Xenopus tropicalis: one gene and its partners. The protein of the gene in region 1 purifies or fractionates together with the protein of each later gene. This does not show direct contact. Links are inferred from orthologs where the notes say so. Each region holds a gene or a part of one and is shown in the gene's direction. Other genes may lie near its edges.

Region 1 (3,655 bases):
ACGACAGGCGTAACGAGGATGTGGACCCAATGGCGGCCTCAGCTGAGTATGAGCTGGAGAAGCGGGTGGAAAGGCTGGACCTGTTCCCCGTGGAGTTAGAGAAAGGTAAAGCAAAGTACTAGAATAGGTTTCAATCAAAAAGCATATTGCATCTACATTTAGATATTGTATTCACCAGCACCTTTGGTTAGGTTTTATATTTGTTGGAAATCTGGCCCTATATCTCTCATTGCACTTCCCTACTATTCAAAACTGTTTGTTCCATTTCTCCTTAACCTGGCATAGAGCACAGGGCAGACACACCATGACCCATTGGTTGGTCTGGAAAAGTGACTATTGAAAAGCACTGTGAGCATTACCCTACCAAGCTGCTTGCACGTTTGCTGTACTTGCTGAGTATGATGTTACTGTTTTACATAGGAAACGCTGCTTTGATGAAAGGAAGTAGATCAAATGTGTTATCTGCTTAAATAAGCAACAGTCAGTTTTCCAGGTTTGTTACTCAGCTGGCTGCTGCTACATTGCTTCAGGAGCTAGAACCAGAAGTGCAAAGAATATAAAGAGTCAGACACTGCTTTCAATGGCAGTTACATTTATATTTGGGCATTTGGTGTGTTTTTATTTACGACAATGACAGTTTCCGTTTAAGGCATTTAACGAACACACAGAGTCTGTTTCATATCTACCAAACTATTTAAATACATATCTGACCTACATTATATAAACATTACGTTCTCTGGGTCTGTTTTCTTTCATATCCCACATATTCCCTACAGACTCAGTTCCTAGAATATTAAGTCACTCTCTCATCTTCTCTGTAAAAGGCATTCTTATTATTATTAACCTTTGATTATATTGTACCAAGACGCGCAGACCAGTCCCTGCACCAGCGAAGCTTACAATCTAAAGTCTCTATAACACTTATGAAACAGGCAACGGTCAATTTCATTGGGAACCATTTAACCTACCTACTTGTTTTTGTAATTATAACTCATCATAACATAAAACCTATATCAGCCTCACTTCATATCCATATTGTTTCGGTTGGACAAGGGAGCCAAATGTAACCCCTACATACCATGTACGCCATGTACTAAATCATGTGTTCATCTTAAATTATACCCCATATTTATTGAACTATGCTGTTCCTGATGATAACCAATCACTGTGCATCTCTGTAGACTCTGAGGGACTGGGAATCAGTATTATTGGGATGGGAGCCGGAGCTGACATGGGACTGGAGAAGTTGGGAATATTTGTCAAGACGGTGACAGAGGGTGGAGCTGCCCACAGAGATGGAAGGTACAGTGCTCAATTATGTTATTACTAATTACATTAAAAAATGCATGAATCTGTTATAACTTAAGAAAATAATGTTTTGGGCATATTTATAAAGCCTCCTATCCATTCTAAAATAATGGTGATCAGCTGTCATTTACTTAACAATGTCCATCTTACAAGAAATTTGATTTTTACTATACTATGATTATCATCAGGTCTCCCCCAACTAACTTGCACTGCATTAATGTCAAAACAGTGCTTGTTAATTTTGGGGGAATTAACAAATCAGATGGACACTTCCACTGAGCTCTAACACCCAATAGCATAGAATGGAGTTTGACTACTTGAACTTCTTTTCTAGATTTAGTGAATACCCACAGATAACTGGCATCTTAGTATTCCACTACTAGGCTATTTGTTTGCCAATACATAATACCTTTATTTATAGCATCTTTACTTCTCTGAGAGATATATTTTATCCTCCAGGATCCAAGTAAATGATCTTTTAGTGGAAGTCGATGGGACAAGTTTAGTGGGTGTCACCCAATCTTTTGCCGCGTCTGTCTTGAGGAACACAAAGGGACATGTAAGGTGAGGTTTAACAATTTTGTTATAGTATTTAATAACCATATTATTGTGCCCATAGTGTAAATCTGAAATAACAGCCTCTGTAACTAAATACTATATAGCTTTAGCCATCTAGGTTGCCATATTTTTTTGATTATGGCAGTGCAAAAGAGGAGTATTAGCCTAAGAATCTAACTTAAGGGTGGACCTCTTGGCCATGGCTAAATAATATGTTTGGTATTATTAGTACTATTTCAGTCTGTGGCTCTTTAGTTGTTGTTAAATGTACAGGAACATATGGTTACTACGCAATGGAATAGTCTGGTCCTACCATGAGTTCATAACTTAATATCTTGGGTTTAATTCAAAATAAGAACTACCCTGTCTGTAAGAGGCTAAGGAATTTTTACACCACAAGCCACAAGTCATGTTCATAATTGTATGATTAAATTAGGTTTTTAATTGGTCGGGAAAAGCCTGGAGAACAGAGTGAGGTGGCCCAGCTGATTCAACAGACTTTGGAACAAGAAAGGTGGCAGAGGGAGAATATGGAGCAGCGATATAATCAGTGCAATGAGGATGATGAAGAGGTGAGTGGGGTAAAATATAAGGCAGTGAACAGTGAGTGGAACTTACAAACCTATGGACCCTTACATTGACATTAAAATAGCACAACTGAGATATCCATGTATATGGAACACCATCAAGCTTAATGGAAGCACCAAAAAACAGGGCAATGCCTGGGTTGGAAGTAATAAGATTAAACAATACTAAAAACGTCTGTATATCACTGGTGGGATTATTTCAAAAATGAATTAACCATAGGCAAAGGTGTTATGGAACTAAATACAGAAGGAAGAAACAAGTAATACAGTATAAGGATCTTGAAGATAGATTGCAATATTATTTTAAGCAAAGCCTGCTTTGTTTTTTTGTTTTTCTTCAATGACCAACACTCATCCTCATCCAGACTAATAAATGCATTCATATGATGAGGGTAAGCTCTAGCCAAAAAGGTATCTTAAGCTTAGCTTATTTGTATATGTGCTGTCTGGTACTACTCATCTGAAAAGCAGCTGATGGGGCTTCTGTGGTGGAAGTTTCCCTTTTTGTAGTAAGAGTTATTGTCTGCTCGGTTGAGGTGGTGCTGAAGATTTTATGCTAGTGTTGATTTTTTTTCTTAATTGGTAAAGGTTTTATTCATAATATTTTAGACAGGGGAGTATGCAACAGATGAAGAAGATGAAGAGATGAGCCCTATGTTCCCAGGTGGGGAACTGGCTATTGAAGTGTTTGAACTTCCTGAAGGAGAAGATGCCCTGTCCCCAGTGGAGATGGACCCTGAGAAGCTAGTGCACAAATTTAAAGAGGTAATTGTCTCAAGTTTCCAAAAAAAGGCCATTAAGTAGATGGATCTCCAGTCTAGATATCAAATCATTTTTGTTCTCTTCCACAGTTGCAGATCAAACACGCAGTGACTGAGGCTGAAATTAAACAACTTAAAAGAAAGGTAAGGATTGTATGTCCATGGACAATATTGTCTCATTTCTACCAGCATCTTCCATGTTCCAACTTTCTACTCAATGCCACACATTATTTAATATTCCATTTCAACCAGTGTCTCCAACATTAACCAGCACATAGTCGCCTAGATCTAACTGGTCCCTGGCCCATTTTTAAGTTCTCTAACCACCCTGCCAACCCAGATTGCTCATTGTCTTATTGTCAACTTTCTTCTTGTAGCTGGCAGGTCTTGAACAGGAACGTTCTCGTTGGAGGATGGAGAAGGCTCAGTTGCAGCAAAGTG
Region 2 (3,655 bases), on another chromosome or scaffold:
CCCGCTGTGTAGCCCCGGGGGTTTCTGTAGCAAACACCCCAGCTGTACCAGTGCAGGAATGACTGCCCCCGGGGCTACACAGCGGGGTATTTATATAAACTATAGTAGGGTTTCTGTAGCAAACACCCCAGATGTACCAGTGCAGGAATGGCTGCCCCCGGGGCTACACAGCGGGGTATTTATATAAACTATAGTAGGGTTTCTGTAGCAAACACCCCAGATGTACCAGTGCAGGAATGGCTGCCCCCAGGGCTACACAGCGGGGTATTTATATAAACTATAGTAGGGTTTCTGTAGCAAACACCCCAGCTGTACCGGTGCAGGAATGGCTGCCCCCAGGGCTACACAGCGGGGTATTTATATAAACTATAGTAGGGTTTCTGTAGCAAACACCCCAGATGTACCAGTGCAGGAATGGCTGCCCCCAGGGCTACACAGCGGGGTATTTATATAAACTATAGTAGGGTTTCTGTAGCAAACACCCCAGCTGTACCAGTGCAGGAACGGCTGCCCCCGGGGCTACACAGCGGGGTATTTATATAAACTATAGTAGGGTTTCTGTAGCAAACACCCCAGATGTACCAGTGCAGGAATGGCTGCCCCCGGGGCTACACAGCAGGGTATTTATATAAACTATAGTAGGGTTTCTGTAGCAAACACACCAGTTGTACCGGTGCAGAGTAGCAGTACATTATATTGTAATAACTTTTATACACTTTAATTTTTTGGTATTACTGTTCCTTTAACTGAGCTGTTGGTATGTAGTGGGCATGGGTAACGGGAGTCAGCCTGGCATCCTTCTGGCACTGCTGCAGAGCCCAAATGTACAGCTGTTTCTAGTTATAATATAATATAAGGGAGACTTTAGTGCCGCTGTATTTGATGTCATTTACGTATTTCTTTGTACGTATGTTTGAAATTGGGGTGCACTATTTTAAGGGTGCTGCAAAATGTCCGCAATATCCAAACTCCTGCCCCTTTGGTTATACACAGAGCCAGCCAACCTCAGAGCCCGATTGTTTATCTTCAAAGCTGATTTTCTGAGTGGTTCCCATTAATTATTGCTGCTTTTTGATGGCCGCTCTCTTGAAATACATTTTGGAACACAGCTCTGTATAGTTAATAGCAACACGGTGGGTTCCTTTGTCGGTACAGCAGTGCATTCTCAGTTCAGCCTTTGATCTTTGTGCCCTTAATGGCTGCCTAATGCATTGTCTGAATAAGCAGGGTTTGTTATGACTGGAGGTACATGTACCTAAATTACATTCAAGTTGGCTTAGTATTACATATAGTACTTTTATTAATGCCAAACTGCAAGTATCCCTGTTATCCAGTCAGTCTTGACTGGAAGTGTTCCTTTTTGGCAGAAGCCCCACAGGTAACGCTCGGGGGTATAATTGCCGAATTCCTTCTAAGCTGATTATGATTGGGAGTTGACAGACCAACCTGGAGCTGCCAAGTTCAAATTGGGAAGCAGATGACAGACCAAGCAGTATTACGGATATGAAATGAAGCTAAAGACTGAACCCGCAGACTATATTCTCCCTATTTATACTTTGCTGGATGGCTGTAGCCTACTTTTCTCTATGAAAAGATGCAGTTTTATTGTCTTGCTGTTTTTTGGGCCCCAAGTGTAACCTCAGATATTTTTTTTTTTTTCCCCTGCAGTACGAGGATGCCGCCCAGGGAAGATTGTGCAGATGACAGAGGCAGAAGTGCGAGGGCTCTGTATAAAGTCCCGGGAGATCTTCCTCAGTCAGCCAATCCTGTTGGAGTTGGAAGCTCCGCTGAAGATCTGTGGTAAGTTTGGACTGACTTAACCTGGACTCAAGGGAGAATGTCATTAAATTTGAGAAATGTTGCTTCTGGAATTAACTGTACTGCAGAGTAAGATATTGGCACAGGTTACATAGCAGGTAACCAATAAGCTCTGTACAATATAATGGTGTTTTATCGGTTATCTGCTATGTATTCTGTGCATTTTCTCCTTTGAATGGCTGCCCCCATGGCTACACAGCAGCTTTGTTTACTAAACTATAGTAATGTTTCTAAAGCAAACACACCAGTTGTACCAGTGCAGGGCAACAGTATATTATATTGTTACTTTTATACACTTTTATTTTTTGGCGTTACTGTTCCTTTAAGGTTAAGGCTTAAGGTGCCCATACACCTTCAGATCCACTTGCTTGTGGAGTGGATCTTCTCCCGATATAGCCCACCCGTAGGTGGGGGATATCGGGAGAATTCAGGCTAATTTGATCGTTTGGCCCTGGGGCCAAACTATCGAATTATAACGACGGGCATAGGCAAAGTCTGTTCGGGGACCACATCAACGAGCCAATGCGGTCCCCGTCTGACTAGATTTTTTAACCTGCCTGATTTCAGGCCAGATATCGGTCGGGCAGGCCCGTCGTTGGTGCCCCTACATGGGCCGATTAGCTGCCGAATCTCTCGAAGGGACTGATGTCGGCAGCTGGAATTGGCCCGTGTATGGGGACCTTTATTCGCCTGTGTATGGGGACAGTCCAAGAGCCTGCCCATCCAATATCTCCTTAAAAAATCAGCCAGATATCTTAGGCAAGTTAGAAAATATTACTGGGTGAGGCTGGTGTTGCTAGGCTACTGTTAACTGATTGTTGACTGAATCATCTCAGTTTGACCCAGTGTATTGGTGGGCAAATGTCAGCCTTGCCAAATGAGCAGATATTAAGTGTTTGGAATCTGCTTTAATCTCTACTTATCCTCAGGGCTGCCATCAGTAATCCTTGGGCTCTAAAATACTAAGATAGCAGGCACCTCCCCCCAGGGGACCCACGTTATTAGCCCACTGGTCACCTGGACCCCCTTGCACACATGGCCACACCCTTGATCCAACCAGCCTAATTATAACAAAACTTTTCCTACTCTCTCGCAAGCCCCACCCCTTCTATGACCTATGAATCATGCTTTTTCCATCTCTGCCCCCCCCCATGGTCTGTTTGACCTCCACCATTTGGATATTTACTTTGTGTCTTGATCATCGCCAAGCATGCCCAGTAAGCACCTCCTCCAAACTGAGCATGTGCAGTGCCGCTGACACATGATGATCAGCTATCCTTTTACCTAGACCGGACAACCTACAGTATTTATTTATCACTGCAAACATACAGGAATTAGGGTATAGGTATACAGACTGTATGTGGGTGTTGCTGGCACCCACATTAGGCCGCACCTGTTTTTCAGCTGTTATGACACAATCCGTTTTACCCTTAGTAGGAGAGTATTGGGCAATATCTGCCTGACTGCCGGCGTTGTTTGTGCTTGAGGAGAAGCTGAATGATATGTATATTTTGCCTCTGTGTATGTGAGTGTCCCCTGTTCTGCCGGCTCTGCTCACACACAGGCCTCGATACAGTAAGAAGCAGCGGGTGTTTTATTTGGCCGTGTGTCAGCAGCCACCTAGGGCTCTCAGAGGGCGGCTCGTTTATCTGCTCAGCACCGAGCATGTACAAAGCCCCGTCTGTCGTCCCACAAGGAATTCTGCTCCATTCACATTGCAATTATTCCAGTTCTTAAAGATAATTTGGATGCAGGTAAGGCTGCAATTGAAAGTAGTGTCCATCCTTCCTGTTCTCTGCGTCTGACTTTTGAAACAATATGGCAGAAACCAACCCTC
Region 3 (3,655 bases), on another chromosome or scaffold:
GTCTTAAGGGTCTGGGATCCGCGGACTTGTCAAAAGCTGATGAAGCTGAAGGGACACACAGACAATGTGAAGGCTCTGCTGTTAAACAGAGATGGGACACAGGTAATTGCAGTCTTGTCCAAGGCCATCTGCTAAACATAAAAAATTACTCAAAAATTGCAAACAACAAAAAAAATGCAATAAAAAAAGGACAGAACACTGTTAAATGCAGAAGCTTGTTCAAGGAAACAATCGAGTTTTATGTGTTAATTCCCACGACTTGTTCAGTGTCTCTCAGGCAGCTCTGATGGAACAATCCGACTGTGGTCTCTGGGTCAGCAAAGGTGTATAGCCACTTACCGTGTCCATGATGAAGGGGTTTGGGCTCTCCAGGTCAATGAAGGTTTCACACATGTCTATTCAGGAGGGAGAGACCGGAAGATCTATTGTACAGACCTACGGAATCCTGATATTCGCTTGCTTATATGTGAAGAAAAAGCACCAGTTCTAAAGGTATGTTTGCTTGGTGATCGGTAATTTTACTTGTTTATCTAGCGCTGAATGAAAATACCTAGCATTCTATCTCTAACCATTCTGGATTACAATCACACACATACATTGAAACTGAGAGCTAGAATCTCCATTAAATCCCCTTTATTATGCAACTGTCTGTCATCAGCTTTACGTGCCTGAATCAGTAGCAGGTGAAGCAGCTAAGAGTTAATTTTATATTTGTAACCTAAAACTTACAGGTAAGGCCCAGCCCTCTAAGTAGGAATCACTGTGAGGTGTATTTAAATCCGATTCTGTTTCTAAACACCGGTGATTGTAAAAGTCTGATTGTTTATTGTTCTACAGATGGAGCTGGATAGGTCAGCAGACCCTCCCTTGGCGCTTTGGGTCGCAACAACTAAATCCTCTGTAAATAAATGGGTAAGAATTGTTTCCGAACAATAAGAGCGGTTTTAGCGGTTTTGCATTTAATCTTCTAGTATAAAGAAAACAAAACTGACATGAATCATTTTGTTTCCTCTTCCTGCATTAGTGATTAAAGGGTAACTTCACCCAACATAAAATGCAATTCTAAGCAACTTTCCTTTATTCATTCTATAAACCTTTAAAATGGTGTTAAAGTGGGTTTTGTAAATGTCATTGAAACCAGTTTATTCCTTTCTTTTCTTTGGTTCGGACTCTTGAAACAAACAGAAGCCTCTTAGACAGATAGCTGACAACATCTTTCTGTTTCAGAACCCTCCCCGAGACCTCTTTATCTAACTAGGTGGCTTGTGCTACTTTGTTTCATGAGTCAGAACTATTAGTGCAGACTATATAATTATTAATAGCTCCTTTAAACAACAGCTTTGAAGCAAATGAACATTTTTAATGGATAATAATGTATTTTGGAAGTTGCTTACAGTTTTTTAGGGTAGACATCAGCCCTTTAGGGCTCTGGCACACGGGGAGATTAGTCACCCGCAACAAATCTTGCTGTTCGCGGGCGACTAATCTCCCCGAATTGCCATCCCACCTGCGACAATGTAAGTCGCCGGTGGGATGGCACACACGGCGGCGAGATTTCAGCAGATCGCCGAAAATGCCTCGCGAGGCAACTTCGGCGATTTGCCGAAATCGCCTGCGCAGCGTGTGCCATCCCACCGGCGACTTACATTGTCGCCGGTGGGATGGGAATTCGGGGAGATTAGTCTCCCGCAAACAGGGAGATGTGTCGCGGGCCTAATCTCCCCGTGTGCTAGAGCCCTTAAATGCAGTTCTAAACGCACAACAGTTAATCCTGACATAGTTTTGTTTTAGCCTATCAAAGGTATCCTGAACTTCAGATCTTCCGGAGATTATGAGAATGACTGCAGCACTCCACTCAGTCCTATTTGCTCTCAGCCCGACCAGGTCATTAAAGGTAACGGCGCTGGAATTATTTCTATGATACATTATTTTTGTGTTGCTTGTGTAACACTGACAGTGTCACTTGCTAAGACTTTAATGTATTCTCTTCCTAGGGGGCGCTAGCATCATCCAGTGCAATATTCTCAATGATAAAAGGCACATATTAACCAAAGACACTAATAACAATGTGGCATACTGGGATGTTTTAAAGGTAAGATACAGTCTTACACTGTGGTGTTGTAGGTAATTGTTTCTGGTCCCTTGCAGTTTAAATTGATAAGACAATTGCTTCAGCACACAGTCTGTTCCCATGCTCCTTGGTTACTCCCATTGTAACCTTTAATAGCACCTTGCATTTGTCCATTCTTGGTGATCTCTAGCACCATGAAAGTTCTTTATTTAAAAGCTTTCCACAGGTCATGACAAGCACGTGTGAATACATTTTATGCTTAAAAGCCTTGCCTCTATGTGACTATTTCAGACTTGATTTGGAAACACCCTATGGCAGTTGCTGGTGGTGGCAGATGGGGAATAGTCCGGGTACCAGGTGTAGGTGTAAGGTGTAGAGAGCTCTTCAGCCTGTGTGATTAGATCTAGTATAACAGACATGATGGCCAAAGCCATACAACACTATATGTGTGATGCTCGAGATAAAGGTCATGGTCTGTTCTTGCCTTCCCAGCATCCAATCAAACTGTTACATAAAAAGGGTTGTTTACCTTTTTAATTAACTTTTAGAATAATGTAAAGAGTGATATTCTGAGACAATTTTCAATCCGTCTTCATTTTTCATTTGTGTTTTTTATTTATTTATTGAGCTCGGAATTACAGCAGGTATCTCTAGCCCTAGTAACCAGGCAGGGTTTTGAATGAAAGACTAGAATATGAATAGGAGAGGGCCTGATAAGATAAATAAGTCATAAAAAAATGACAATAAACAATAACAAATTAATAATTTTAGCCTCGCAGAACAATAGCTCAAGGGCTGCCGGTATCAGTGAAAAAAGAGGATCAATTAAAGTTGCTGCTTTTGTTTGCAGGCTTGCAAAGTCGAGGATCTGGGAAAAGTCGATTTTGAAGAAGAAATAAAGAAAAGGTTTAAGATGGTTTATGTACCAAACTGGTTCTCAGTCGATCTAAAGACTGGAGTAAGTAAATATTTTTTTGGGTCTGTTTATTCTTTTCATATTTCAGTAAATGTGTTCTGATCCCCAGTGGGCAGGGCAGCTCATTCCAGTATTGCACCCTGAGTGTGTGTAAGGTTTATTCTTAAAATCCGAAATACACACAATCCTATATTTTGTGTTTTTTTTATCTATTAGCCTTGCCAGTAAATGATGCCTTAATTGGAACTATAGAGCACTTATACAATTTACATTGCCTGTGCAAAGACATAGTTATGCCCGTTTTAGTTATGTGTTTATGGCGCCCACCCAGGCCATATGAGGCAGTGCATTGACTGAACATATTAACATTGGCATGGTAGGAGAGGGCTTGATGCTTATATTCAGCACTTCTGTTTCTGGGGGTGAGTCTGCTCTAGGTAAGCTTTGCTGTTCTACTTGCCAGATGCTGACGATAACACTAGATGAGAGTGACTGCTTTGCCGCGTGGGTTTCTGCGAAGGATGCTGGATTCAGCAGTCCGGATGGATCTGACCCAAAATGTGAGATCCAAGCACAAATTGTTTGCTTGTCCGTTTAAAAAATATTCTCCAGAAAAGTATGTTGTATTGCAGATTTCTGTGTTTTTATTCCTGTGATAGTTTTGCTCT

Evidence for each region.
Region 2: the proteins of ppp1r9b (region 1) and ppp1cb purify together in Homo sapiens (affinity purification with mass spectrometry; 4 studies listed by BioGRID and IntAct, with this or other methods). This does not show direct contact. The link is inferred for Xenopus tropicalis from reciprocal best matches to the Homo sapiens genes PPP1R9B and PPP1CB.
Region 3: the proteins of ppp1r9b (region 1) and wdr48 purify together in Homo sapiens (affinity purification with mass spectrometry; 3 studies listed by BioGRID and IntAct, with this or other methods). This does not show direct contact. The link is inferred for Xenopus tropicalis from reciprocal best matches to the Homo sapiens genes PPP1R9B and WDR48.

The regions. Positions count from the first base shown.
Region 1 is NC_030686.2:18,319,685-18,323,339, forward strand, and holds part of ppp1r9b (neurabin-2), read left to right. Parts: coding exon 1-105; intron 106-1,181; coding exon 1,182-1,302; intron 1,303-1,767; coding exon 1,768-1,872; intron 1,873-2,302; coding exon 2,303-2,438; intron 2,439-3,062; coding exon 3,063-3,218; intron 3,219-3,304; coding exon 3,305-3,358; intron 3,359-3,591; coding exon 3,592-3,655. UniProt on the Homo sapiens protein: Seems to act as a scaffold protein in multiple signaling pathways. Modulates excitatory synaptic transmission and dendritic spine morphology. Binds to actin filaments (F-actin) and shows cross-linking activity. Binds along the sides of the F-actin.
Region 2 is NC_030681.2:5,955,172-5,958,826, forward strand, and holds part of ppp1cb (serine/threonine-protein phosphatase PP1-beta catalytic subunit), read left to right. Parts: intron 1-1,668; coding exon 1,669-1,800; intron 1,801-3,655. UniProt on the Homo sapiens protein: Protein phosphatase that associates with over 200 regulatory proteins to form highly specific holoenzymes which dephosphorylate hundreds of biological targets.
Region 3 is NC_030682.2:13,425,900-13,429,554, reverse strand, and holds part of wdr48 (WD repeat-containing protein 48), read left to right. Parts: coding exon 1-102; intron 103-267; coding exon 268-492; intron 493-837; coding exon 838-912; intron 913-1,791; coding exon 1,792-1,894; intron 1,895-1,994; coding exon 1,995-2,092; intron 2,093-2,921; coding exon 2,922-3,029; intron 3,030-3,450; coding exon 3,451-3,547; intron 3,548-3,655. UniProt on the Homo sapiens protein: Regulator of deubiquitinating complexes, which acts as a strong activator of USP1, USP12 and USP46. Enhances the USP1-mediated deubiquitination of FANCD2; USP1 being almost inactive by itself.